Linked DNA regions of Solanum lycopersicum. The protein of the gene in region 4 binds, or shares a complex with, the protein of the main gene of each other region. Links are inferred from orthologs where the notes say so. Each region holds a gene or a part of one and is shown on either strand. Other genes may lie near its edges.

Region 1 (3,444 bases), on a different chromosome or scaffold from region 4:
GTTTAGTCGTAACAGAGAAAAATTGTTCAAGAAATGCATCAAACTAAGGAGAAAAATGGTGAGATTCCCTTATGCTTCTGGTAATTTTAACTACAGAGTGGAGAAGAAGTTCCTCAAGACGTCGATTTAAATCACATATTTGAATAAATACTAACGTGAATGATCGATCTATTGTGTTTTTTTTCTGTAGGGAAATGGCTATATTATTTGTTCTTGATTTTCTGTGTCTAGATTGAGTAGAGTGATTTGCATGGGAGCTGTTCACCACCACCAACAACAACATCTACGGTTCAGTACCAAACAAGTTGAGGTCGACTATATGAATCTGTACTGTCATAGTTCGAGGTCAATTTTGTGGTCGATAATAAGTGAATTGAGTTCTCAAATTTTTGTAGAGTAGGGTATTTCATCTTTTGACTGACTTGTTATTAATATATTTTTGTATTTTTGAGTGAGTTTGGTAAAAAAAAAATTATAATCAATTGGGAATGTCTTGTATGATTAATCATTGTGTTACTTCCTACATTGTATATCAACGTACATTTTTTTCTTTTTTCTTGTCTTTTAAGAAATATTAAAAATATTTATTTTTTTACTAATTTACTGTTATAATTATTTTTCATAAATTCTATTTTTTGTGTCTTTATCTGTTAATAACAAAAGAGGAACTTTACAATATTTATATTTTTAATCAAAAAGAGTCGATTTAAGGTGCAAAATGGAAAAAAATAGAATTAATTTTTTAATTTGACAAGTAATTTTGAATAAATATCTTTGTTAATGTAGACAAGTAGTCTGTCATAGAGGTGTACTATTATCTCATTACTTCTCTTAATTATTATATATGTTAAAATTTCTTTATGTATGTGATGAAATCTAACTATATTTATACTCCCTCCGTCTCATTTTGCAATTTATTTGTCTATTTTCACACATAAAAAAAGATAATTTTTTTTCTTATTATATTCTTATTTAAGCTTCCTGAAAATTTTTAAGTTTTAATTCATCTTTTTCGAAATCATAATTAATAAGGGCAAAATTGTAACTTCACTATTCTAATTATTGCTATATTAATATGTTTGTCATTTCTAAAATGGACAACTAAATAGGAACAGATAGAGTTTGAGATAACACTATTATTCCTTATTTCTCGTTCCAAACAATCCTTTTCAGGTCTCAGTTTATTGCTTGATATACTTTTACATAAAAAATAATTGATCTTCTGATAACTTGAATTCACAATTTTAAAGTTTAAAATGAATGGTATTTACCATCCAAGTAACTCTTAACGTTTTTTTTTTTAAAAAAAAAAAACAAGGAAAAATAAGTGAATTTTACCTTAATTCAGGGGTATTTGAATAAAAAAAAGACAAAGGGCACATTATCTAGAAACAGAATAAGAAGCTATAGAACCACCACAAATAAAATCTCAATTCTATCAGTTGAGCTGCTGCAATGGCGTCGTTGTTAGTTGGTTCAGTTCCTATGAGTACTGTTCAATCCATGGCTTCTCTTTCTCCTAATTTATCATTCTCTCGTTCTCACTCCGTCGCCGGCAGCGTTTCAATTACGGCGGCATCTCCTTCACCATCAATTTCGTTTTCGTCTCTCACTGATTCAAATCTCCCATTGGGTACGAATCACATACCTTTTCGAATTTATTGTTTGTGAAAATTTTGTGATGATTGAAGTTTCAGTTCGAGAAATTGAAATTTTGATTTGATTTCATTTTCAGTTTACTGCGGTAGAGGTGATAAGAAGACGGCGAAAGGCAAGCGGTTCAATCACTCCTTTGGCAATGTGAGTTTGTATATTTTGGTTTATTGCAGGATAAGACCTCCTTAATATGATTTAGTTTCAGATACACCCCTGTATATTTTATAAACAAACACTTACCTCCTCTATATTAGGAGAATCCTACACTAACATTCTAGTTTGATACGTGGAATAAGAATAATAATCTCGAAATAGAATTTGAGATTAAATTTATTGCATATTTGAGTTAAAGGTATTGGCTTAAAATAACGAGTGTATCGAAGATGAATAAATAATTCCATGAGATATTTAATGTATTTATGCCTTTAAATTTTAGAAAAGAGAAGTATGTGTTTTGTTGAAATTGATAAATAAGATATCAACACAAATTACTTAATATGAATAATTTTTTAACTCATATTTGATTAAATGAATGTTAATTCCATATAAAATGATTTATAGATTCACTTGGAATAAGATTATTGGTGCATAAGGTTTTGCATAATTAATGCAGGAGTTTAATGCTTTTAATATTATAGAATTTTATACTGAGATTCAATTGTTCATACATTTAGACGAATTGACCCCTAAAAAGTTTTGAAGTTTATTTTTGATTGCAACCTAGATGCATCTCGACTAATTTTATCAATAGATGGGATAAATTACCTAGTGTTATTTTGTCTCTGATAGAATTTGAACCTGAAACCTCATGATTCTCGACCCTCTTCGTTAACCACCAATGTTGATGATAGATTCAAAATAGTCTGTTAAATATGCTCTAACCAATTTTTAGTACTTTGAAGTTTAGAGTGTTATCATCATACGTTTAACAATTTATGTTCGTTAGATTTGACAGAAATAGTGAAAAAACAACAGTTGTTTCGACATTTTTTGTTGTTATTTTGAACTGATTCCGATGGTATGAATTGGTTTAGGCAAGGCCAAGGAACAAGAAGAAGGGAAGAGGACCACCTAGGGTTGCAGCACCACCAGCAGCACCAAAGAGAGATCCATTTGATGATGGCCAAGTCGTTAAAATTGAAATACATGACCCATAGTTTTCTCGGAGGAGCAATTTCATTTTTATGTAGCTCTAATCTTCTACTACTTTGTTTATTTCATTGAAATATCGATTAAGTTAATCATTTGGACTGAGATTTCTAGTTTGCTTGAAGGGTCTTCGTTTAAATGCTCTTGTGTCCTGTTAAATTATGCATTTTGGTTCTAGCAACCTTCAGTAGACAAGTGGTAATAGTCACTACTTTAGCTATTGAGAAAAGTGAAAAGCTTAGAGAACCCCACATTCCTTATGGGTTGAAAACCACGAGGTTTTAGGTTCATATACTAGCGGAGACAAACACATTAGGAGGTCTTTTTGTAGAGTGTATAAGAATAGTAATATATAGTGTATTACTAATGCTGGGATTAGTTATGTTGGAGCTATTTCCTACCCACTATTTGGTTTGATATATTATCAAGGGCACTTTGGCCTCGAACAAAGAAAGGATCAAAAAATGTCATAGCTAATACATCCTACCAAATGACCCCTAGGTGGTTCTTATTTAGACCTTCGTGGATAGAATTACTCCATATCTGTGCTGGTTGGAGGTAACCTTTACCTCGAAGAATTAGTCAAGATGTGAGTGAGCAAATCCAGTCACAAAAAAACTTCTTTTGTTTGGGTCACCA
Region 2 (3,637 bases), on a different chromosome or scaffold from region 4:
TGACGTTCCTAACAAAATTTTCTTGATACCTAGGGCTTGAACTTGCAATTAATTAGAGCCCCGACAAATTCTGATCGCGGCGCATTGTGGACTCATTCAAGAGTGGCACTCCCAGCAAAACTTTCCTCATACCTAAGATTTTAAACGTGAAACATCTGATTAAGGGTGACACAATTTCATCATTACGCCACAATTTATATTTAAAAATAAATTAAATTTAATGATTTAATAAAGTAGAAATACATGTTAATTAATCATAAATTAAAATTATTGTGTATGTTTCAATACATATACATATTATGCATTTATTTATTTGCGATAAACATCTAATATGGATAAATTTTAATTTTTTCAATGGGTGGCAATTAAGTTGCTATTTATAATGCCGCATAAACAGTTATTAGTTATTGCTAGCAAATTCGTAGGATTTTGCAATTGGAAGGTGTTTTATTTTTAGGAATTTATAAAGTAAATTACTCACAACTCATAAGAATCGTTTGAAGTACCCATTAAGATGTAATTTATAGGATTAGTAAGTCATGAAATTTATTAGTTATAATCTTATAATATTAAAATTACTAAATTAATGGAGTATTAAAATTTATAAAATTCTTTACTTTAAAAATAGGTTCTCTCTAATTTTCTCTAAAATATTCTTCTTGTTCTTGCTTTATTATTTTATAACCACTTCTAATCTTATGTTGTTTATAAGAATTTTTTATTGTTGCCCATGAGAGATCTTTATTTTTATGCCTACAAAATTTTAAAAGATCAATTTTCTTTTTATTCAATTGGTAAGTGATCATGTAAATTTATTTTCAACTCGCATTTCTATCGCCCCAAATTTAGGTTAGGCCTTAGATAAAAAGAGCGATATCAGAAATGAAATGTAGAGATTTCTTTGTAAAGCTAATATTTTCTTCATTTCAATTAGATGTAATACGAAGGCTACAATTACATGTTACAACCAAAACATAATATGAAATTTCAGATGTAAAATAGAAGTAATGTGACGTGTAAAATGTGTAGAGTACTGATATAATGTCTAGTTATGTTAAATTATTAATAATATTTATAAAGTGCATAGTAATAAATTACTATCGTCTTAATGAGTTATCGATTCATCCAATAACCAAATACTAAAAATTGATACCTAATCAAAAACCCTTTATAGATCCGTTAAAAATCCATTAACTCAATAATTCAATAACCCAATAACATTTTTTTAATAGGTTTATTGATCGATTCGATTTTTCCACATCCTTATTGGGAGGTGACAGTATGATAGACATCGGTGAATTTAGTCGAGTGCATGAAAACTAGCCCGAATACCATATTAATAAAATAAAATTTAAAAAAAAAAAAAAAAGAACAACCGGGGCTCCATATTAGCAAACCAGGTCGAAAAGAAGAACTCCATTCCCTATCCAATTTTCCCCAATAGGATAAGAAAAATAGACCAGCAAAAGGCTCTATCTTCTTCCTTCTTCAATTTCTTCATCAATCAAGATTTTCAACAATGGCGCAAACACTAGCAACTCCTGTACTTCCTTCTCTTTCCCTTATCTGCAACACATCTTCCATCTCCAAGCACAGTTCCCTCTCTTTTTCTACTCCCACATCTTTTCCAAAGGTACACTTCACTCCCTTCTCTTGAAATTTGCAGTAATCAAACATGGAGTTTGCTGAAGTTTACATTTTTTGACCTTTTTCGTGTAGGAATTGGAATGGGGTTTGTCTTTTTTTTTCTCGCAATTTTCTCAGTAACCAAACATGGGTTTTGCTAAAGATTACTTTTTTTTTTACCTGAGTAGGAATTGGAATGAGTTTTTGGATTTTTCGAAATTTTCTCAGTAACCCAACATGAGTTTTTTTTGCTAAAGTTTCCGTTTTTTTGAGGTGGGATTGAATTGAGGTTTGCTTATTTTTCATATTTTTGGACTTTTTTGAGTTGGAATTAAATTGGGTTTTGCTAAATTTTCCATGATTTTGAGTTTGAACTGAAATGAGTTTTGTGTAGACTGCAGGTTTGGTTATAAAGTGTGTGCGTGTGGGAGGAGTGGAAGTTCCAAACAACAAAAGAGTTGAGTTCTCTTTGCAATACATTCATGGAATTGGCCGCACCACTGCACGCCAGATTCTGGTAGACCTTCAAATGGAGAACAAAGTGATGAAAGACATGTCGGAAGAGGAACTTATCACTCTTCGTGAAGAAGTCTCTAAGTACATGATTGAAGGAGACCTTGTGAGTTTCATTGCTCTAATTTGTACTCATTTGTTTTCGTTCCAATGTGCATATCCTTATTGAAACTTATATGCTTAGGTAATTTGATTTCGATATCTAGTTCATGTAACTTTGCTGTGGTTGCTGTTTATTTTAGCTCTATAGTTTAACTTAATGCCATTTGGGGTTCTAAGAAATTTAATTCATTTTGTCTCAAGATAGGAATTGAACCAAAAAAACAATATCTTAAACCAATCTTTGGTCCAACTTTTACATGGAAAGAACCATATTTGAGCTGAAACTGCATTCTACATATCTTGAGATTAAAACCAGAAGATCGAAAAATCTTCTTTACTTTCTTAAACTTTGTGTCAAGTCAAATCCGGACAAACAAATCGAAACAAGGGGAGTTATTGTTAGGTGGGTATGTAGGATCATGGCTTCTATATGCATCACAGCCTTATCCCAAATTAAACAGTTCTTATGGAAATGTATTTCAGAAGAAATCGATAGCTTGTTTAGCAATTGGCAATGTTGATTGAGATTCTTGTGTATAAGGTTGTTTGTTTGATTGATGCTTCGGCTTCCTATTTGAAACGGGAAAATTGATTACATACTTGTGGTGTTGGCATCAGAGGAGATTCAATGCTCTTGCCATTAGGAGGTTGAAGGAGATTCAGTGCTATAGAGGAGTAAGGCACATCCAAGGATTGCCTTGCAGAGGACAACGAACAAAGAACAATTGCCGTACTTTGAAGGGCAAGAAAGTAGCAATTGCAGGGAAGAAGAAGGCACCTCGTTAAATCAAGATCGATTTTTCATTTCTTTTGGTAACTAACTTGTAAAAGTTACACTCTATATTCCTATGGCAAACTGTGCATTTGTTTGTTATAAACAGTTTTTTCCATTGAAATCATTTTTCTACATTTCAAGATAAGAGCTTTTCAAGAAGAATGTTGATGCTTAGGCATAATCTCTTCCTTAAATCTTGTTAAATGTGTTTCATGTGGAGTAATTGCGAATTTACGTTATTCTGATTGGATGATTTGGTTGACAGGAGAAAGGTTTGTTAAGTTACGTTAGGTGTCATAATAATTGTTGATGTAACGACCTATGAAGTGCAGTCCCTATCTATGAGCCTTGGTTTAAGCTTCAAGTTCAGTAATGTGTTTGGGCCAAGTATTTGCATTAATGTGATACCAAAGTTTTACAATTTGAGTCATAGCATTGTTAATGTAATGACTCGTTAGGTCATTTTGAGAATTAACTAAAAGCATAGAGTTTGTGGCACCTTTTTGTCACATGCATGAGCATGAAAGTTAAGTCCCACCCCTTTAGTACTCAAGAAGGTTCACTTTTCTCAGGTTTCTTGAAGACCATGACTTCTGTTTTTCAATAGTGATGATGTTCAGA
Region 3 (3,585 bases), on a different chromosome or scaffold from region 4:
CTTCTGATCAGTCTATTTATTAACTCAACTCATTTTGACTCATTTAAATTCAATTCAACTCATTCATTTGACGTTGTTCTTATCATCATTCTGTAGAACTTACATTTACGACTTGACAACACATCCTTATCACATAGTACCCTAGTACGAACCTTCATTTTATCCAGTCCATTTCAATTATGCAATGTACGATATCATCATCAATCTCCGTTCTTCCGGGATACGACACCTCTAGCCCAATATTAGCTCTTAGGAAAAATAAAACCAAGCGTCACATTGATCATAAAAATATACTTTTTTGTGTATGTAAAGGGCAAATTATAAGTATGAATTGAATTAGTGGTTTCTTCAAATTTGCAACTCATTTTGATCACTTCATAATTAATATGACTAATATTAATATTATTATTTTTTTATTATATGATTTTGTCAATATCATAAAATTCAGCTCAAGTAATGTTTTTTCTTCATAAACTTGAATGAGTAGTACGCATGGACATATATATCAAAAGTCGTCTCTTTTACTAATTATGTAGAAAATGACATTGAAAGAAAAATATTTATGATATATGAACTTCATTTTCAATTTTTTTTCAGATCTTATTAAAAAGATGGCTTTTTATTAATACCAATAAGAAAGAATGTAGCTCTAGGACATTCTTAATATGCCCCTCTTTTGTTAATATTAGAGATTTAATTTCACGAATAGTCAAAGAGGCATACATATATCACACTCATCCACATGTTCAAGGCGCAACATCTATCTCAAAAAATGATTTTCTAAAAATAATAATGATAGACGTGTTAAAAAAGTAATGTGAAGTCATTGTCGAGAGAGTTGCTGACTAATGACCTAAAAAAGTACGTAACATTTGAGAAGCACGAACAATCTTCACCCATGAGATACATTCTACTTTTTTTTGAATAATCAGATAATATTGATCAATTTGATTAGGGATGACAAAATTAATCTATAAAAATCTGATACTCATAAGTTTTGTCTACTAAGAATTGTAAACTTGATAAAAGTTGAACATATTAGACTACGACAAAATACTAACCCATCTTATCTCAAATTTATAATCTTCAAACAAATCGATACCACTCGTTTATCAACACAACTTTAACTCTCAAAAAATTGTTCAATCCGCTCGTTTGACATCCCGAATCAACTCAACGTTGCTAAATATACAAAATTAGTAAAGCTATGATAACTAATGATCATATTTCTTTTGGGCCCAAATCCCATAACATGACCAAAGTCCTCACCCATAGGCCTCTTAGCCCAATTTAAACAACTTTCATTTTTTTTCTTCTATTACCTTATCCATTCTATCATTATCTCAAATTCTCTATACACACTCTTTTTAAGGCCACAATTTTCCCACTTCACTTTTTTTCATCACTAGACAAATATTTTTTTTATCTACACAAAAAATGTTATCAATGTCTGTTCAATCTAGCTTGAAAGGCAATTTGAGTATCCCTTCTTTACCTTCACAAAATCCAGGTTATAAATCCTTCAAATCATGTTCTTCATTATCTTTTAACAACAAAGGTTTATCAACAAGAAGAATTCATAAGATTTTTGCTTCAGCAGTTGCAGAAGCAGAATCAGTTGAAGTTGAGACTTCAGAGTCTGTTGTTCAAGAAATTGAGGTAAAAAATCAGCTCTTTAATTTTCAATTAGGTAACTTTTTTCGATAACTTAGTGTCTAGATTAGTTTTTGCGCTACTCAATTAATTTCATGAATGGTAGTGTTACTTCTCACTAGTAAAATTGAGTAATCTTTGTCTGATTTTGACTTGATACGTAATTTAAGAATGTAAATACTCCCTCAATCCATCTTTACTTGGTCATTATATTAAAAATAGTCGTCTAACAATACTTGTCCAATTTGAAAAACATGAAAACCCTTGATATTGAATACTACTATTCAATATATAATACATTTTCCAAAGCATCAAATTTATATTCAAAGGATAATATAGTAATATTTTAGAATCATTTGATATATACGACAAATCTAGAATTTTTAAGTCTTTGAATTCACTTTTACTATGATTATTTAACACGTACTGTGTTGTTCGACTTTTCTAAATATGAAATGGTAGTCCAACAACTTCTTAATGAAAATGAGTAATAACTAGCAAATTTATGAATGTTTTAATTAATAAAAAAAAGGCATAATTGGGGAAATATATTGATCATTTAGCTAAAAACAGAACAAAAATGGAGTTAAATTATAGCATTACCTATAAATATAAGTTATGTTTCGACAAAAACTAGATATATCAATTCGTACCCTCGAGCCCTAAAATTTTAGTGATGATGAATTCAACCTCTAGATCAAACATTTGTGTCATATACTTGCACCCGTACCAAAACAACATAATGTATGTACATATTGACCCAAAAATAACAGATTCAGTTGAACACTTGAACACATTTAACTCATCCTAGCTAGATACGCCTATGACAAAATCCAATCTCTGACTTCCACCCGTGTCAAATACTCAAACTCGTATTGAAACGTCTACATTATTAAAGATGAAAATAAGAAGTTCAGTTGAATGCACATAATTCATTCCAGATACGTACGACTATATAAATAATAAGCCCAAAAAAGGATAGGATATTATGTTTTGATATCTTATAGTGAATTCTTGGATATATTTTTTTCAGAAAGTTGATATGAAGAAAAAGGTAATTGAGAAGCCAAGGCTAGTGCTAAAATTCATATGGATGGAGAAAAATATTGGACTTGGCCTTGATCAAGTTTTACCAGACCATGGAAGTGTACCATTAAGTCCATATTTTTTTTGGCCTAGAAAAGATGCATGGGAAGAGTTGAAAACAACACTAGAGAGTAAGCCATGGATATCACAAAAGCAAATGATTATTTTGCTTAATCAAGCTACTGATATTATCAATTTGTGGCAGCAGAGTGGTGGAAATTTGACCTAATTGTTGTTTTTGGTATTTATTTGTAGACAAATTGTTTCAACTTTCTGTTTTTGTTTTATCTTATTTTTAACTGTACTATAGTTGATGGAGAATACAATTGGAATCATTTTTGTTTCATTTTTTAAATTGTTTAATGTGTTCTGACTGGACGATAAGATAATCAAAATTTGTGAATAATTTAATAAGATAGGTGAAATGAAGATAGTATCAACAAGTTTTATACGCACAAAATTGAAACCATGGCCGATTTTGTTTTCTTTTAATTCAATATATTTTTTAGCGATTGTTCATCTTCCACCGCCCGTTATATTTGGACTTTATTATGAACTAAAAGCCCGTAAAGTCTCTCTAGTTGGGTTGGTTCATCCTAACAAGGCCCATGGGCTCTATGGCAACTCTCACTTGAAACTTGCGATGGAAGAATCCTCTTTTCGTAATTAGTGGCTATACTAAGGGTAAGTTCCCGCGATGTTCAACTACGACATCGTATAAAGGCCTTCGTGCCCAATGTTTCCTGTGAATTCGAAGTACAGAAATTTTGACAGAAGTTTTTTTTCCCGCGCTCTGTGAATTCTCCAATCCATGGCTCCTAAAGCAGATAACACTGAAGGTAACTT
Region 4 (3,388 bases):
TCATCGAATGTTTGTTGCCTCTTAAATGATATATGCAGATAGTGTGTATGATGCATCCCCTTATCCAGGTTCAAAATATGAGAGTCAAATGATGATATGCCCATTGATGCAGCTTCCTCTTTGCTTGTTGCTAAGGCATTGACGGTGAAAAGAGGAAAAAAATTATCTCTCACGGGTGCAAAGATGAACAGCATTTACGCATATGAATCTGATAAAAGATCTAGCTAAAGTAGCAAAGCTTCTTGACTGCGCTAGAGCAAAAACTTGATCAAAATATCCTAATCTACATAAATCAATCATTATGATAAATTGTTGCCTAGAGCATATTGTCTCTTATGATCATAGACTAACCTTCTATCCAAGAGCTGGAAAATTAATGTTCCGAAGATAATTATACTCAAGTAAAACACATAGCATACCATTAATACAAATTTCTTGGCAAAACAAAGACACTGTCTCAATGCCAGTCTCTCCGCCAAGATAAAGGCAACCACCCAATCTATGAATAATATTTTCCAATTACAAGAAGAAAATATGAAAATGTTATCATGGATTATACATCTTAGGTTTCATATGGTTCATTCTTGCAGCCAGGGAAAAATCAAAAGGACAAAGCAACCTTCAGAAGACACATTTTCAGATAATTATCACTAATATTATCTCTTAGTGGCATGATATGTGTTAACAACGTTGGTCAAGCAATTCATTTGTACATTTTTATAGTCCCAAATCCCAATCAATACAGAAGCAGAAAATGACATTGCAAGCTGACTAATCGAAGTTGAACTTCTGTTATACCTAAAACTGGACCAGTACATGACCATCAAGTTCTGATATTCTTGCACCATCAAAAAGTCACTAATTTCCTCAATTGATCTTGTTCACTAATCCACATGAATCGCAAGAATTATGCACACATTCAACTATTTAGTTAGAACTCCAATACACTGCCTGTAAAATGAAGAAGCAAAATTCTAAGTTTCCCAAGGGAAGCTAATTCAAAGTTTTTGTCTTTGAATCTCTGAAATTTGAAATCCACAAAGAACACTTCAGCTACATTAATAACTCACTACGATATGGTTCAATAATCAGAGACAGAGCCATGATTTCATTGAGGAGGTTCAAAATCCGTAGAAATAGGTAGTCGAAGGGGTTCGACATCTACCATATATATATATACATATAAACTTATTTTAACCATGTATAAATAATATAGTTTAATTCCGGGTCAGGTCTAATAAAGTAGAATTCGAGGTTCACAGATAAAAGAGGATAAAATTAGCAACAACTACAAAAGCAACAATCACCATTGAAATCTAGTAATAAACTCATTATCATCTAAAAATCAGTCAATTAAAAATACATGATTATCATGAAAACATAACAGAAACCAACAGACAAACAAAAAGAAACTGAACAGTACAAAAGAAAGCTCTCACTCTAACTCGTCTGCAGAGATTCAAGCGGAAGCCCAAGTTCCTGATTCTCTTCCTCCTTAACCTTGGTCTGGTTCCTCGGTGGTACAGGTATAGCAACGAAGGTCTTGGTCTTACTAATGGGCCTACTCTTTTCAAGCTGAACATAATCCCCAACTTGAAATTGGTTCAATGGGTCATGAGCTTGGTACTTCTTCTTCTTCCTAACCCTACGTTTGTACTTTGGGTGAGGAGCAAGACGAGTAACTTCCACAGAAACGGTTTTGTCGTTTGTGGAGCAGACGACTCTGCCTTGCATTGATCTCATGGCTCGAATTGGAGGCAGGAAAGCAGGTGGAGAAGGTTTTTGGGAAGTGATAGAGGATGAGGGTGTGGAGAGACGAGAAAGAGAAGAGGAGCCATGGAGAAAAGGGGTGGAAATGGTGAGGGATTTGAATTGAGAGAGAAGAGGAGAAGTTACAGACATTGTGTGAGGATAACACAAAAGAGATGAGGGAAAGAGGAAGGATATAGATATATACCCTTTTTCTTGATTTTTTTTTTTAATTGCCTTTAAAATGTTAGGTTAATTACATTTGATACCCCTACAGTATGATTCAATTTCAAATACATCCTCTATATTATAAGATCAAACACTTGCATCCTCACATATTATGAATATCTCATGCTTACCCCCTCTATGAGATATATTTTCTTTTCTTATTTTAACAACTATTTAATGACATCATTTCCATTTTATTTTTGTTGGGTTTCACTTAACATATTATTTTGAAGGAAAGTCAACTGAAACTTAGTACATAACTTTAAGGAATACAATTTAATAAATATAATAAAAAAAATTTAATTTCTTAAATTTTTATTTCTGATTAAATAGTATCACGTAAATTGAGATGATGAGTACAATTATTAAAAAGACCAATCCAGAGATGCAGTTGAATTCCCTTCTTATAAGATATTCTTTTATTTTATTACATTTGAACTATTGAATTTTCATAGTATAAGATTTCCTTTTCTTTTTTTTGTTATATTTGAACTACTGAATTTTCATGGTTTAAGATGTTTATAAGCATATTGATGTAGAGAGCATGTGAGTCGATCCTCTAGGTGATCTTACTGAGTATTCAACAAGACTCCAGCCAGTAGTCTCTACCCAACTTGTTGAATTTCTTTCGTATAAGAAAAATTATACTAAAGCGAAGAAAGGACATTTAAATTTTAAAATTATTTTATATAAATAATAATAAATAAATAAATTTTATAAGTAGGATTTGTAAAAGGTAAAAACAAATCTTATCTCTATTGGGGAATAATCAAGTCTTAACAATCTGAAATCATTGTCCACGTCTTAAGATATCGAGTGAAATTTTATTGATAGTAATTTTTTTAAGTATTCAATTGTAGCATGCTTTTATCCGAGACATATTTCAACAATAGGAAAACACGAATATATATAACTTTCTAATGCTTAAATTGTTTTAAATTCCGTATTTTTTTAATTTAAATTTCATATTCAATCAAATACTATCATATTAATATCTATTTAATGGTATAATAACCTACTGAACGTTTTTTTAAAAAACCACAAAGGATAGGCTTATCCAGTCTACGACACGTGTCCCCATACTAGTGGAATTTTAATATCTAGAAAGATACCCAATTTGCCATATGTCCTGTTTGGATCCACCCAAAAAGATCAAAAACCGAAACGTATCGACATTTGTGCCAATTGCCAGCCCAAAATTTGAAGTCTGAAAGTAGTAGTTTCTGTTTAGTTTGTTGAAGTGAAAAGCCATGGCATCTTTGGCAACCCTTGCTGCAGTGCAGCCAACTACCAACATCAAGGGCCTAGCTGGAAGTTCAATCACTGGAACTAAGCTTCATCTCAAATCATCTCGTCTCAATTTTAACCGCACTAAATTCAGGTAATAAAGTCATGCCTTCTTTACTTAATT
Region 5 (4,132 bases), about 59 Mb from region 4:
TCGTTGTTCAACCCCAAGCTATATGGTAAGAAATATAAATCACTAGCCTAATTCAACCCCAAAACTTAACTCATTAAAGGGATAGTCCAAGACCATATAAGGATACCAAATGACCCTATCCCAACCAATGAGGGACACTTTAACAATATATGATGGGGCCAACATCGAAAACGATGAATTGCGATGGGTCTGGATTAGATACCTTTGATGAGAAATGAATCTTGGACCTAGCAAATGGAGAAGGATTAGCCAAGACTATATAAAGAGACCAAATGAGCGTACTATCCCCACGACGTGCGATACTCAACATAGATAAATTCCTACCATCAGTACAATTTAATTTTGTTTCTGTTAGATGTTAATATTCATGAAGAACCAAGGCTAACATTTTAAGATATATAGTTTACAATATGATCCAAAAACTAAAGGAAACAAGAGGAAAATCTAAACAAACAAATTGAATAAGTTTTGACTGACCTTTCAAGTGAAAAAAGTTACAACATAACAGGCATGATTGCTAAAGATAAATGATGAACAGTGGCAGCATGACAAATCTTGTTCTATGAAGGCTTAGGCTAAATCACCACCACTCTGTTGCCACAAATTGATGATATCCGTGGCCTGATTAAGAAGAATAATTGCCTGTTTCTGGGATATCCATGGTTTACTCTCGAGCATGACTTTAAGTTCCTCCCAAGCATCTTTTCTAGGCCAAAAATAGTAGGGGCTCAACGGAATCGTGCCATGACCAGGAATTACCTGGTCTAGTGAAATTCCGATGTTCTTCTCCATCCAAATAAACTTCAACACTAGCCTAGGTTTCTCCAGTGGCTTGACCAACACACCGAGCTTCTGTACATCCAGCAGATTGTAAGAGCCAAACACCATAATGAAAATGGTGCAAATATTATGAAATTCTTAAAAAACTAAATAAAATGAGAATCAAACACCAAAATAAAGATATTGCAGACATAACTATGTAAATCAAAGCAGTTCGTCTCTAACCATTGAACTTATAAATGTCTTGAGACATTCACGCAGCATAGTATTAAAGTACACAGATGCATTGGTACGAAGAACCAGCCATCAATTTGGTCCAAGAAAGAAACAGAGCCGAGGAGACGTGTTGCATACATAACAAAATAAATAAAAACAATTTTTTTTAACAGGTTAAACAACTAAATGAGACATTCACCCAACATCGTATTAAAACGACAGATGCACTGGTTTGAACCGTCATCCATCAACTTGGTTCAAGAAAAAAGAATCGGAAAAGAAAACTAATCAAACCCGTGGAGATCTGTTGCAGCCTTTCAGACATAATAAAAATAAAGATAAAAGACCAATTTTGCTTTTTAAATTTTTGAAATAGGACAATTATGTCCTCCATTTCGTTTTATGAAACAAAAATGCCATCGCTGTTAGCCAAGTGGCTCAAAATTTCCCTACTCACTAACGGTTGTCCCACTCAGATGGAAAAGGGACAAAGTTATCCTCCAGTCCTTAAACAAAGTCAATATCACCCACAAAATTTTGGAACCAATGAGGCATCTGGTCATGTTTAACATTTTATATATCATCCCTAACGAAAACAAATTTATTTGCTTGGTCATTAATGAATATTGATTAGGTATTAAGAACTTGTTCTTGATAGCAAATCTTCACAAATTAATGCTATCTTTTACGAGAAAGACCTTTTTCCTGTCAACTGAAAAAAGATACTAATAACGTTCCCATAGTATAAAGTTAACTCGAATATCTACTTTACGCTAGTACGGAGAGATTGAATGTTATGATATAACTGAATACAAACTTACACTTTGATCAACTTAAAAGATGATAGCATAGTAAGAATGTGATTTATCAAGCCAGCTAATGGCAAAGGTATTTTTGTGCCAAAAACCGAAACGGACAACAAAGTAATCTTATTTCAAATAGTTCAAGAGAAAAATTGGCCCTTTTCCTATAAATAAATCTGCCCCATTATTCCTAAGCTTACAACTTTTCTTTTTTAAAATTAGTATTCCAATTTCCAGGCGATCCCCAAATCGGAAGAAACTACATATTATTCTTCATAGTGCCTCTGGTGGATTATTACATGGTCTTCCATTGTAATCTTTTTCATTCTAGTTCTATTGACAATTAAGACACACCCTTGGATGCAAAATCTTTTAACATTAAGAGGATGGTTCACTTCCCACAATTCAACAAAAAACTAAAGGATTATAACGGGCAGCGCGATGCACTAAGCTCCCTCTGGACCATGTACTGTCCACAGCCTGGTGCACTAAGCTCGCCCCCGAAAACAAGGGCCAGTTGTGCAGGTGTTGGTTGGTTAACAAACAGAAACCAAACAATGGATAGGAAATAATCGCAGCATTACTGATACTTATACACACTCTACCAAACAACACCTAAGAGGGAAGTCAGAGAGTGAAAATTACCTCTTTTTGAAGAGAATCTGAGGAAATAGAATCACGGGTCGATGTTTCTTCAGCAAAACTCAAGGCAGCCGCAGCTGAAGTAGCAAAACCCCCAAGATTTCTTCTGGGTACGATTGCTGAGACATTAGAACGTCGAGAAAAAGACTGCCCCTTTGTAAAGAAGACAAATTTGGGTGAAAAAAATTGGTTTTGAGAAGAAAACGCAGGAACCCAATTCACAGTAAGCTGTGTAGCCATTGATAACATCATTTTCAACAGCTAAGGGGAAACTCAGAGCTTCTCTGTCATTGTGTTGTGTTCTTCATCAAAGTCTAGATAAGAAAAAAAGATCCGACACAATATAACCCGACCCGGATTTTTTGGGGTTGGGTAAATCTATTTAAATGATAGCCTAATATCACGGATTTCGACTTTAAAAGTGACGGATCATGATACTAAACTTTATAAACTATCGAATATCCACCAAAAATTAACTTAGCAAACTTTAGTGTTGGGACTATACTTTAGGTTATTGTTTAATTATTTGGACTAATTTCAGGCTAATTTAGGCCGATATAATTGCAACAATAGCCTAAAATTTCTGAATTATATGTTATTTGTGGATTGGAGTACAATTTTTGGATAATTTTAGATAGGATATATTTCTAACAATGAGATTATATTGTAACAACAATGCTTACTCAAATGATTATTCTATGTCTGGACATTTTATTCAAAGAAAAAAATAAACTTGGTTCTCTATCCTTAAGATGATTGTGATACAATGGATGGTAAAAGGTTTAACGAAACCAGAAATTATAGTGATTCAGCGGCTAAGAAGGGACCTAGAATATTTACGACTCCACTTTTAAATACCCTTCACTCCCTTTAAAATGAAGTCTTTCTTTTTTGATAAAGTGATCAAAACTCGTAAAATAAATCAATATATCATAATATTATAATGTATATCAATATCATCTATGAATCGCAATAACATAAAATATGTTAGAATAATTAACTCGAATCGAATAAAGAGGAAAAAAAAGAAAAGAGGAGGCCAAATACAAAATGGTCAAAAAGTGTAGTTTTGGAGTAAACTAACCCAAAAGAAAACCGTGAAAGCCAGCGCGACTCTAACAAGCAGCCACACCAAACAGTCCTTTAAAACGGGTCAACCCGTGAAACACGTAAATCTTCAATAACCCTTTCTTTTTTGGCTTTAAATTCACTTCAATTTTTTTCATTTTTCCTTCTCATTCAATATCCTTCTAATTGGAGTTTCTTCTTCTTCGTTAGAGACATCAATCACCAGGTAAGTTGTCCAATTCAGTTTTCATGTTATTGATTGGTTCAGATTTAGAGATATACCATTAGATTCTGTTGCTGGTCTCTCTACTTCATAGAGACAATACACTTGTAGATAAAATGTTCAATAATCCTTTGAAGTCTTCCACTTTGTTTGAATAATTGTTATGTATTGTCACATAATGTATCGTATTCAATGGCAGAGCCACCTTATAGTTAGGTTCATCCCAACCTCGTTCGGCGGAAAATTATATTATTTATACATGGTTAAAATAGTTTTTAGTTACATATAGTAGATGTCAAACCCTCTTCGACCTCTTCTGCTAATTAGTATTTTGAATCCACTTACTGAAAATTCTGGCTCTGCTGTATTGTATTTTGTTGTATTCTTAATGAATTTAATA
Region 6 (4,089 bases), on a different chromosome or scaffold from region 4:
TGAGCAGAATGTAATGGCAACTTTCAGTAATATAAAAGAATGTTACAAATTGATACTGTTTTGCTGTGAAAAGGACTGTCATGACTTAAACATCTGAAAGGCGCGATGAGGAAAACTTGCCTGCTCTCTGTTATCGTCTTTTACAACTGAACAGATACACAAATTAAACTAACCAACCAAACTAGTATTTTCTTTTCCTAATCTTGAAAGTGGACGACCGGATAACATCATCATCAGCTACCAATGTTGCCTCAAGAGCTACAATGGATTCAGGTTTAGTAAAATAAGTGAACAGGAGGTAGATACCGTCCAAGTACGTATTTGTCTCTCCAGCTTTGTTTTTCCTCCTAATGCTGTATGCAAGTGGAATAACCCCTCGGTTGAAGACTTCCACATACATACCACCACCAGCAACCAGCAACTGCCCAAGAGAAAGAAAAACAAAAGATTATAACTTGCATCGTCAAATAGCATGTACAACTGAAATTGATCGGAGACAATATTAGTTAGAACTGTTCAATCCATAACAGAGTTACTATAAGTCTATTATGTACTTTTAGATGAGATGGTCAAGTATAATTTTAATATTTCCCTTCACGTGTGGACTTGTGTAAATCCTTTTTTGATAATGTGTGGCAATGAGAGCCTGATCCGATACCATGTTGAAGAGAGTTTCTTTGGTTGGTTAGACGGAGTATCTGACAAAGAGAAACACAAAACATGGGAAACATTGGCACTTACAAGTGTGTCTATTTGATTGACCTGTTAGGCAAAAGCTGAAACGCAGTAAATGTTGGAACAAACATAGAACAAAGACACGTGTGCTGATGCTTAACTTTTTTCTCTCTTCAAGCTTATCAGGGATTTAACTAAGTGAAAGTTTCCCCAATCATTTGTAGGTGAAAGATGACAGATAGTTTAATCAACTTTAAGTCCTTTCATACTCAGTGCAATCCCACATGCGGGATATGGGGATGTTGGTGGGTACGCAGCCTTGCCCCTACCTAGTAAAGGTATAGAGCTATTCCAAATAGACCCTCGGCTCAAGTGAAACAAAACAACAATCAGTAAGAAACGGAAATACAGTAGTAAACGGGTCATGTAGAAAATAGAGTTTCATCAACTTTAAGTACTTCTATTATTGTCCTCCGCAGCTTTGCAAGCCTATTTTTCTTATAGACGTCGACTATAACATCAAAAATGAGATGGGCAAACAAAAATACAATGATCATCCATGTTCACAAAGAAGAATGATAAGGTGATAATAGTCATCAGACCAAGGCTTTTGGACTCGAAAAGCAGATAGAGAAAAAGAACAAGATTAAAAATGAAAGCTCTTACATGGGAACAAGAAGAATGAAAATTGTAGCAGAAGCTGAGACTAACTTTCTTCTTACTTAGATCATGTCCATGTCAGCTTAAATTATAACAAAATGTTGAATTATGCACCCAAACACTGTTGACTGTTGTTAGGTTCAAATATCTGATTTTTCCAAAGAATGGCCTTCTAGTGAGTAGACAAAAAAACAAAAAGGAAGAATATTCTTGGACAATCTTGTGCTTAAATAAATTGCAAGGTCGATATTGCTTTTGCTTTCAGGTTTCCGCCTCTTAGCAGACAAAGAAAGAAAAAAAACAGTTTTTTTAGCCAAGAGAGGGGAATGGAAGAAATTCTCATCATGTCAAACCAAATATCAATCACTTGTTCTGTTTCCTAAATGATCTCCCTGTTTCAAATGAGTATAATTATCTTCATTTCCCAGTTCACAATGAAATCAGCTGAAGAGTATCAAATGATACTATATGCAGCTCAACTTCTGATAAAAATACTTACTCCTTCAGTCCTAATGTGTGGCAACCTTCACTTCTCATTCATGAACTATGACAAACATATTAAAAATTTATTCTTTGCCTTCAGCATAGATACTAAGAAAATTACAATAACAACAACAAAAAAACAGTGAAACATCACAAGAGGGGTCTGTGGGTAGAGTATACGCAGACCATACACCTATATATTGGAGGTAAAGAGGCTGTTTCCGGAGAACACTCGGGATACTAAGAGAATTATAATACTTTCTCATACAAAAGGAATTAGTCTAGTTCAATTTATCTCCAAAAGTCAATCAAATTGACCCTAAATAAGCAAAATGCGCCAAACAAAATGGAAAGAAACAGTATATTAGTTTCAAAAATTCAATCTTTAGAACTCTCAACTTCAACTCTAATGCTCAAACAGTCAAATCAGCAATTGAAAACTTAGAATCCACCCAAATTGAGCTTAGCACCTTGCAAGTTATATCAGTTTCCAAAAACAAAAACAATCATTGTTACCTCTTCGTATTTCTGGGTAAGAGCAAGTCTTTCATCTTCAGACATATCAGGTCTCAATACCACCATTGTTTCATAAGGGCGTAACCCAGGTGGACACTGCGGTTCCTCTTTATCTTCAACTGCAGAAATACCCGACCATGGTGTAGTCGGTGGTTCATCAGCATTTCCTCCTCCAAATCCACCCTCGAAAAACGAGCCCGAAAATTCTAGAGTTTGGGCTTTCAAGATTTGCCCAGAATTGTTGACCCTTTTGGTGAAACCTTTGAAGTTGAAGGGTATTGAAGGTTTAGAAGAAGAGAGAGTGGAGGTAAGAGATGGAAGTACTGATGGAGAAGAAGAAGAAGACGCCATTCTTGAGGGAGATAAAGTGGATAAGAAAGAGGAAATTCACAATTTTCAGTTCTGAGTTGGTAAAATTGTACAAGTGAAATTTATTGCTTTTTTTTTGTTTAGATACCCTCAAGACTTGTAAATGCTACTTTACTCCTTTCTTTTTATTTTTTTCTTGCAAAATTTAAGTCATGGATTAAATTTGATTTATTTTTAATTAATTGAAAGTGATGGTTAATTGTTCTATCACTTAATTTTCATATAATATGAAATTGTATTGGTATTTCATGTTTTACGGTAATATTCGTCTAAAAATACTTTAATCCTCTTTAAAAGAATTAATCAATTCAAGATTAAATGTGTTTAGTTCGATATTATAAGGATCAAAATCAAAATTAACCAAGTTAAAGTGACTATAAGAGGCCATATTTATTTATTTATTGGCAGTTTGTGTTCCCTCTTAACTATAGTATAAGGAGGTAGAAGTAAGCAAAGTTTTGAATAAATAATTTGGTGAAGATCTCCTAATGAACAAAGAATCTATTGTAATGTATTTAGCATAACAAAAACATAGCACTTTCTATATGTTAAATCAAATTGCATTGTTCGAGTTATGTTTGTTGAATCGAGAATTGTGATCTTGTACATGATTATGTTGTTGGCAATGTACTTGACGAATGACTAATTGAATATATCAATTGGATCTTCCATTTATGAAAATAGAAGATAAAAAGGATAATTGGAAGTTTGCAATAGAAGTGGAAGCAGGTGTATATATTAAGTATATATCCACAAAACAAAGATATTGGCTTATGAGTTATGACATGAGCCCAACACCCAAAACAGGGTAATAGTTTACTGGGTTAGAAGAATTTACATGAGCAGCAAGGTGTATCCTTCACAAGGCATGCATACACATCACCCTCCCCAAACCTGATGGGATCACACTGGGTATGCTGTTTTTTGTTGCTAGAAAGATCAAAATCCAGTCTCTTTTGACCCCTCATCACTCTCCTAGAAGCATTCAGTATTCAGAACTACTATCTATATCTATACTAGTAATAGGTCTTACATCAGTATCTACAAAAAACGGGTTCTTTCTCCTACACATGGTTAATAGGTAGAAGTAAAAGAGCGAAAAAACTGAGCAAGAGTAGCCAAGAGGCCATTATGATTCGAACTTGTCACACTGAAGATCAAATATTTAGCATTTCCGTCCACTTAGCTATTCTGTGAAGGGGGTATACAAGTTCTAGGCTGGCACATCTTTAACAAGCTTAGAAACTGGCAGTCGATATATGAAACTACATAACAAAGGTACAGGTTTTTCTAACAATGAAAGGTTAAAGTTAAAGACACGGGCTTTACTCATTATCATTACAATCTTAACTACAAGACTCCCTTTCATCACAAGAATTGGTTCAC
Region 7 (4,070 bases), on a different chromosome or scaffold from region 4:
AGTTGATAGATAGACGTAATACTACAATCCCATTTTTGTGTAGCCAAAATATTTGTGCCAGTTGAGAATAGTTGATCCTCTAACAACATGCCTGCATTCTTTTTCTCTTTGGTAATAATTAAGAATGTCAATGTTTGTGGGAGCAGCTGGTTGATTCAGTATGTATTATTCTCTGAATTTCAAGACATTAAGATTGCATCATATGATTCATAAGATTTACTTATATGGAATATTGACCACTATGGTTTTCTTTTCTACCGGTAAGAGTGCAATACATGGTGTGTGGGTTACGTGCATGTGAGGTTCCGAAAGCCTGCTTGATATTTAAGTGGAGAAGAGTATGAGTAGATGGGTAGAATACCTGGTGTGTGGGTTACGTGCACGTGAGGGTTCCAAGTTATTGCGGATGGAAGCCTACTTGATATTTAAGTGGAGAAGAGTATGAGTATGAGTAGATGGGTAGAATACATGGTGTGTGGGTTACGTGCATGTGAGGGTTTCAAGTTATTGCGGATGCAGCCTACTTGATATTTAAGTGGAGAAGAGTACGAGTAAATGGGTAGAATACATGGTGTGTGGGTTACGTGCATGTGAGGGTTCTAAGTTTTTGCGGATGAAAGCCTACTTGATATTTAAGTGGAGAAGAGTATGAGTAGATGGGTTGATTCATTATTTATCGAGTTTTTAATTGTCGTCATTTGAAGTATGAGGTTGTCCTTTCTCCTACTCAGAGAGACAATTCACTAGCGTTTTGGTGATAAAGAGTTTGAAATTTTAACTTCAAATATCTGCTTAGCCGTGAAATTTGATTAGATTTATTTTATCTTCAAATATTTCTCACGTTCCTAAAATTGATTAAGACTAGTTTTTAGGACATACTCACAAAACTTCAAATTTTCAATTTGATGAATAGCTATTTATGTCAATTTTTCCAAAATAACACAAGAATATTTTTCTTTCGGAGATAGCGATACTTTGAAGTTTGATTATCAAAAACATAATACGTAAATAAACACTTAAATTTATAAGTAAGCAGTTCAATTTTTGAGTATGTACATCTAGACACTTAATAATTGAATACTCCAACTCAAGTCACATAAATATTTATTTATGTATTATGTCAATTATCAAACATAACAAAAAAAAATTAGAAATCAAATATAAATATCTATTTATGTATTATATCAATTATCAAACGTAACAAAAAAAAAATTAGAAAATTAATTCAAATGTTGTCCAAATACTAGGTAAATATTTGGGCCTAAGAAGCAATAAAAAAAGGGAAAATACATAATAAGGATAAGCCTTGTACAGAAAATTGTATAGTTATTTCTCTTCTTCGGATAAGCTTTAAAACACAGAAAAATTGAAGAAGCTCCTAAGGAGGAGAGCTCCAATCTCCATTAGAGACCAAATTCGAACTTTAGTGAATACCCAAATGGCGATTTCATCGTCTTCACTCTCAGCAGCTCTTTTTCCAATGTGTAATTCATCTTCCATTTCTGCACAACCCAAGTTTTCTCTTCTGTCTTTGCATTCAAATTCTGTTAAGTTACAAGTTTTCAACCAATCTCGAGTGTCTACAACTAAGGTTTTTGCTTCTCCTGAAGTTTTGGATGCCCAGAATGTTGAAGCTGATGTTGAGGTTTGTTAATTATTTGGGCTATTTTCAGTAGACTATACTGTGTGGTTAACATTAAAAAAAATGCTTTTTTTTTGCTGAATTATTGTTGGGTATTCGTCTTTCTACTGAATTGTTGCTGGGTATTCCTCATTTTACTGTATTGTTGCTGGGTATTCGTCTTTTTACTGAATTGTTGCTGGGTATTCGTCTTTTACTGAATTGTTGCTGGTTGTTCCTCATTTTGCTGAATCGATGTTGAGTATTTGTCATTTTGCTTTATTTATAGGATATTCTAGCTGCTTCAACGCTGAGTATTGGTGGTGACTCTGACAAGGTAAACTTTTTCTCTTCCAGTCCTTTAATTTTTTAATTACTAACTGTGGTGTCTGGACCAACTTGCCCGCACTTGGTACCTCTGGGAAGCACTGGTATCAGGTAACTCTGTCTACCGACAAAGGCGAATGTAGCCTCATAGAGCCAACTACTATGATGTTGAGTATAAATATAAAGTTTGTAGAGGTTCACTGAGACTACAACAATTAGTAGGTCTTAATCCATAACTTTTAAAATATTGTAGATTCGATGCTAAAACCCATAGAGTTCAAATTCTGAATCCACCTATATATACCAAGGTTTGAATAGATGGAAAAAATCAACTAGTGCATTTGCCTATCCTAAATTAGTTGAGTTTGCGTATAAGGAATCTTGTGTACACATTCACCATTATTGAGGTGGGGTGGAGATGGTTCAGTGAAAGTAGACTATTTTAGTGAATCTATCTCAATCTGTAACCTTTATTCGCTTGGGACACCGCTGTGCTTTTTGTGAAGTTCATATAGGCAGTGTTTTTAGGGGGTGATGTTTGATGACTCGTGATTCCTTCTGAGATTTCTGCATTGCTTTATGTTATGTGCATTTTGTTTCTATCTAAGAGAATGTAGTCAAGATTTTGCCAATGTATTATGACTAAGATGTTTCCATTTAAACCGTTTATCTCTCATGTAGAAGTTTACACACTAGACAAGTCTTAGGAATCAACCATTTACTGTTTATACAGTATTGGTGTTTGTAACTGATCACTCAAGCTTATTTTTGTTTGTGTTGGTGTGAACACATCTTTTTTTTTGAATTTTATGCTGCAGCCTTAATTGAGATGGATACTTCTTTTTTGTTGGTAACAGTTATGAAATAGGATAGAGCTGTATGTTTGTCCATAGTCTTAATGAAATATTTGTTGTTTGTTTTCTTCTTTGGCTAGTGACTTTAAAATGTATTAGAATGATAACATTCTTTTGCTTGGTGCTGACAAAAGCTAGCCTCATGGCTGGAGGAGAACATGGGGACATGAAAAAAAGAATAGTTGTGACATGCAGATTATCACATCAGAAAACTACTCTATCTATACCACTTAGTGAAGCAACCCTAAAATTCACTTGCAGTGAATTGGAATTTTCTTATAGGGAAATTTGCAATGATGATATAATCTGCTCAACAGCCAGGCAACTTTTGATAAATGAGCGTACAAAGTTCTTCACTGTTAGATTCCTCAAATTGGTGATTGTGGAACCAATTGGTCTTCCTCAGTTACTGAAAGTCTTAAGTAACCTGGAGCTTTAGTAGTGAATTGATTATCTCTTAGCCGTCTCCTCTAAGTAATTGTGTGCGCTGAATAATTTTCTTCTAAGAATTTTTATTGATGCATCAAGAAGCAAAAGTACAGAAATTTGTCTAATGGATAAAGCATGCACGAGCTACATCTAATGCTTTTCGGACCTTTCACTACTGTGTTGGGATGCTTCATTATTATAGTAACAAGGTCATTAATATTACTCCTAGTGTACAATCCTCTTCAAGGATAAATTTGAGTTGTATTTCTCTCTGGCTACTAAGTAACATTGATCGGAAAATATTATTGGTTGAAATGTTCACTTCTATCAAGACTACTTTCATAAAGGTTTGATTAAAGCGATTTTTTGGTTCACTTATTTGCTTGATAGTAATTGTGTTCAGCTATGAATTCTAAAAGAAAATCTTTGAATCATTTCTAGAAGTCCATGTAAGCTGAAAAAATATTAGAATTATAGTGAAACTGGAAGGTGGTGGGTTGCACAGGAGTATGCTGTTTTTAATGAAACTGGAAAGGTCATTGCAGATTCCGCCTTTAACTCTCACTTAGTTATGAATTTTACGAACAGGCTTCCCTCAGTTTATAAGTTTTATCTGTGGGAGTCCCTGCAAAAATATTATTTCAAAGTTAGGATGGACTTGGAAAAGTTATTGTTCGATATGCAAGAGGTGTAAGCACCATGAGGTGTGAAGTGATCTCGGGCTTCTCCTTCCAGCTCTTGGATACTTATTCAGTACGAGTTAAATCTATGAACTTCGCTGAGAAGCGTCCAGTGGCTGTTCTAATTCAGCATTAAGCTCATCGTGGCTGTGTAGTATC

The links.
Region 1: small ribosomal subunit protein uS17c (region 4) and small ribosomal subunit protein bTHXc share a complex: the UniProt entries of both Arabidopsis thaliana proteins name them as parts of the 30S ribosomal subunit. The link is inferred for Solanum lycopersicum from reciprocal best matches to the Arabidopsis thaliana genes RPS17 and PSRP4.
Region 2: small ribosomal subunit protein uS17c (region 4) and 30S ribosomal protein S13 share a complex: the UniProt entries of both Arabidopsis thaliana proteins name them as parts of the 30S ribosomal subunit. The link is inferred for Solanum lycopersicum from reciprocal best matches to the Arabidopsis thaliana genes RPS17 and EMB3137.
Region 3: small ribosomal subunit protein uS17c (region 4) and small ribosomal subunit protein cS23 share a complex: the UniProt entries of both Arabidopsis thaliana proteins name them as parts of the 30S ribosomal subunit. The link is inferred for Solanum lycopersicum from reciprocal best matches to the Arabidopsis thaliana genes RPS17 and PSRP3/1.
Region 5: small ribosomal subunit protein uS17c (region 4) and small ribosomal subunit protein cS23-like share a complex: the UniProt entries of both Arabidopsis thaliana proteins name them as parts of the 30S ribosomal subunit. The link is inferred for Solanum lycopersicum from reciprocal best matches to the Arabidopsis thaliana genes RPS17 and PSRP3/2.
Region 6: small ribosomal subunit protein uS17c (region 4) and small ribosomal subunit protein bS6c alpha share a complex: the UniProt entries of both Arabidopsis thaliana proteins name them as parts of the 30S ribosomal subunit. The link is inferred for Solanum lycopersicum from reciprocal best matches to the Arabidopsis thaliana genes RPS17 and AT1G64510.
Region 7: small ribosomal subunit protein uS17c (region 4) and small ribosomal subunit protein uS10c share a complex: the UniProt entries of both Arabidopsis thaliana proteins name them as parts of the 30S ribosomal subunit. The link is inferred for Solanum lycopersicum from reciprocal best matches to the Arabidopsis thaliana genes RPS17 and AT3G13120.

The regions. Positions count from the first base shown.
Region 1 is NC_090804.1:66,172,126-66,175,569, forward strand, and holds small ribosomal subunit protein bTHXc, read left to right. Parts: upstream 1-1,232; 5' UTR 1,233-1,455; coding exon 1,456-1,633; intron 1,634-1,735; coding exon 1,736-1,800; intron 1,801-2,690; coding exon 2,691-2,813; 3' UTR 2,814-2,944; downstream 2,945-3,444. Other genes in the region: uncharacterized protein, read left to right, coding at 1-6.
Region 2 is NC_090804.1:939,434-943,070, forward strand, and holds 30S ribosomal protein S13, read left to right. Parts: upstream 1-1,440; 5' UTR 1,441-1,519; coding exon 1,520-1,633; intron 1,634-2,020; coding exon 2,021-2,245; intron 2,246-2,859; coding exon 2,860-3,027; 3' UTR 3,028-3,137; downstream 3,138-3,637. UniProt on the Arabidopsis thaliana protein: Located at the top of the head of the 30S subunit, it contacts several helices of the 16S rRNA.
Region 3 is NC_090804.1:4,043,275-4,046,859, reverse strand, and holds small ribosomal subunit protein cS23, read left to right. Parts: upstream 1-1,350; 5' UTR 1,351-1,437; coding exon 1,438-1,659; intron 1,660-2,686; coding exon 2,687-2,968; 3' UTR 2,969-3,085; downstream 3,086-3,585. Other genes in the region: homologous-pairing protein 2 homolog, read left to right, coding at 3,551-3,578. UniProt on the Arabidopsis thaliana protein: Component of the chloroplast ribosome (chloro-ribosome), a dedicated translation machinery responsible for the synthesis of chloroplast genome-encoded proteins, including proteins of the transcription and translation machinery and components of the photosynthetic apparatus.
Region 4 is NC_090802.1:65,817,206-65,820,593, forward strand, and holds small ribosomal subunit protein uS17c, read right to left. Parts: upstream 1,955-3,388; 5' UTR 1,903-1,954; coding exon 1,441-1,902; 3' UTR 1,440-1,440; intron 952-1,439; 3' UTR 501-951; downstream 1-500. Other genes in the region: photosystem I reaction center subunit VI-1, chloroplastic, read left to right, coding at 3,228-3,358. UniProt on the Arabidopsis thaliana protein: One of the primary rRNA binding proteins, it binds specifically to the 5'-end of 16S ribosomal RNA. Required for optimal plastid performance in terms of photosynthesis and growth. Required for the translation of plastid mRNAs.
Region 5 is NC_090802.1:7,166,393-7,170,524, reverse strand, and holds small ribosomal subunit protein cS23-like, read right to left. Parts: upstream 2,801-4,132; 5' UTR 2,694-2,800; coding exon 2,445-2,693; intron 853-2,444; coding exon 571-852; 3' UTR 365-570; downstream 1-364. UniProt on the Arabidopsis thaliana protein: Component of the chloroplast ribosome (chloro-ribosome), a dedicated translation machinery responsible for the synthesis of chloroplast genome-encoded proteins, including proteins of the transcription and translation machinery and components of the photosynthetic apparatus.
Region 6 is NC_090807.1:67,612,550-67,616,638, forward strand, and holds the start of small ribosomal subunit protein bS6c alpha, read right to left. Parts: upstream 2,801-4,089; 5' UTR 2,686-2,800; coding exon 2,335-2,685; intron 422-2,334; coding exon 182-421; 3' UTR 1-181. UniProt on the Arabidopsis thaliana protein: Binds together with bS18 to 16S ribosomal RNA.
Region 7 is NC_090809.1:1,050,955-1,055,024, forward strand, and holds the start of small ribosomal subunit protein uS10c, read left to right. Parts: upstream 1-1,270; 5' UTR 1,271-1,438; coding exon 1,439-1,645; intron 1,646-1,910; coding exon 1,911-1,958; intron 1,959-4,070.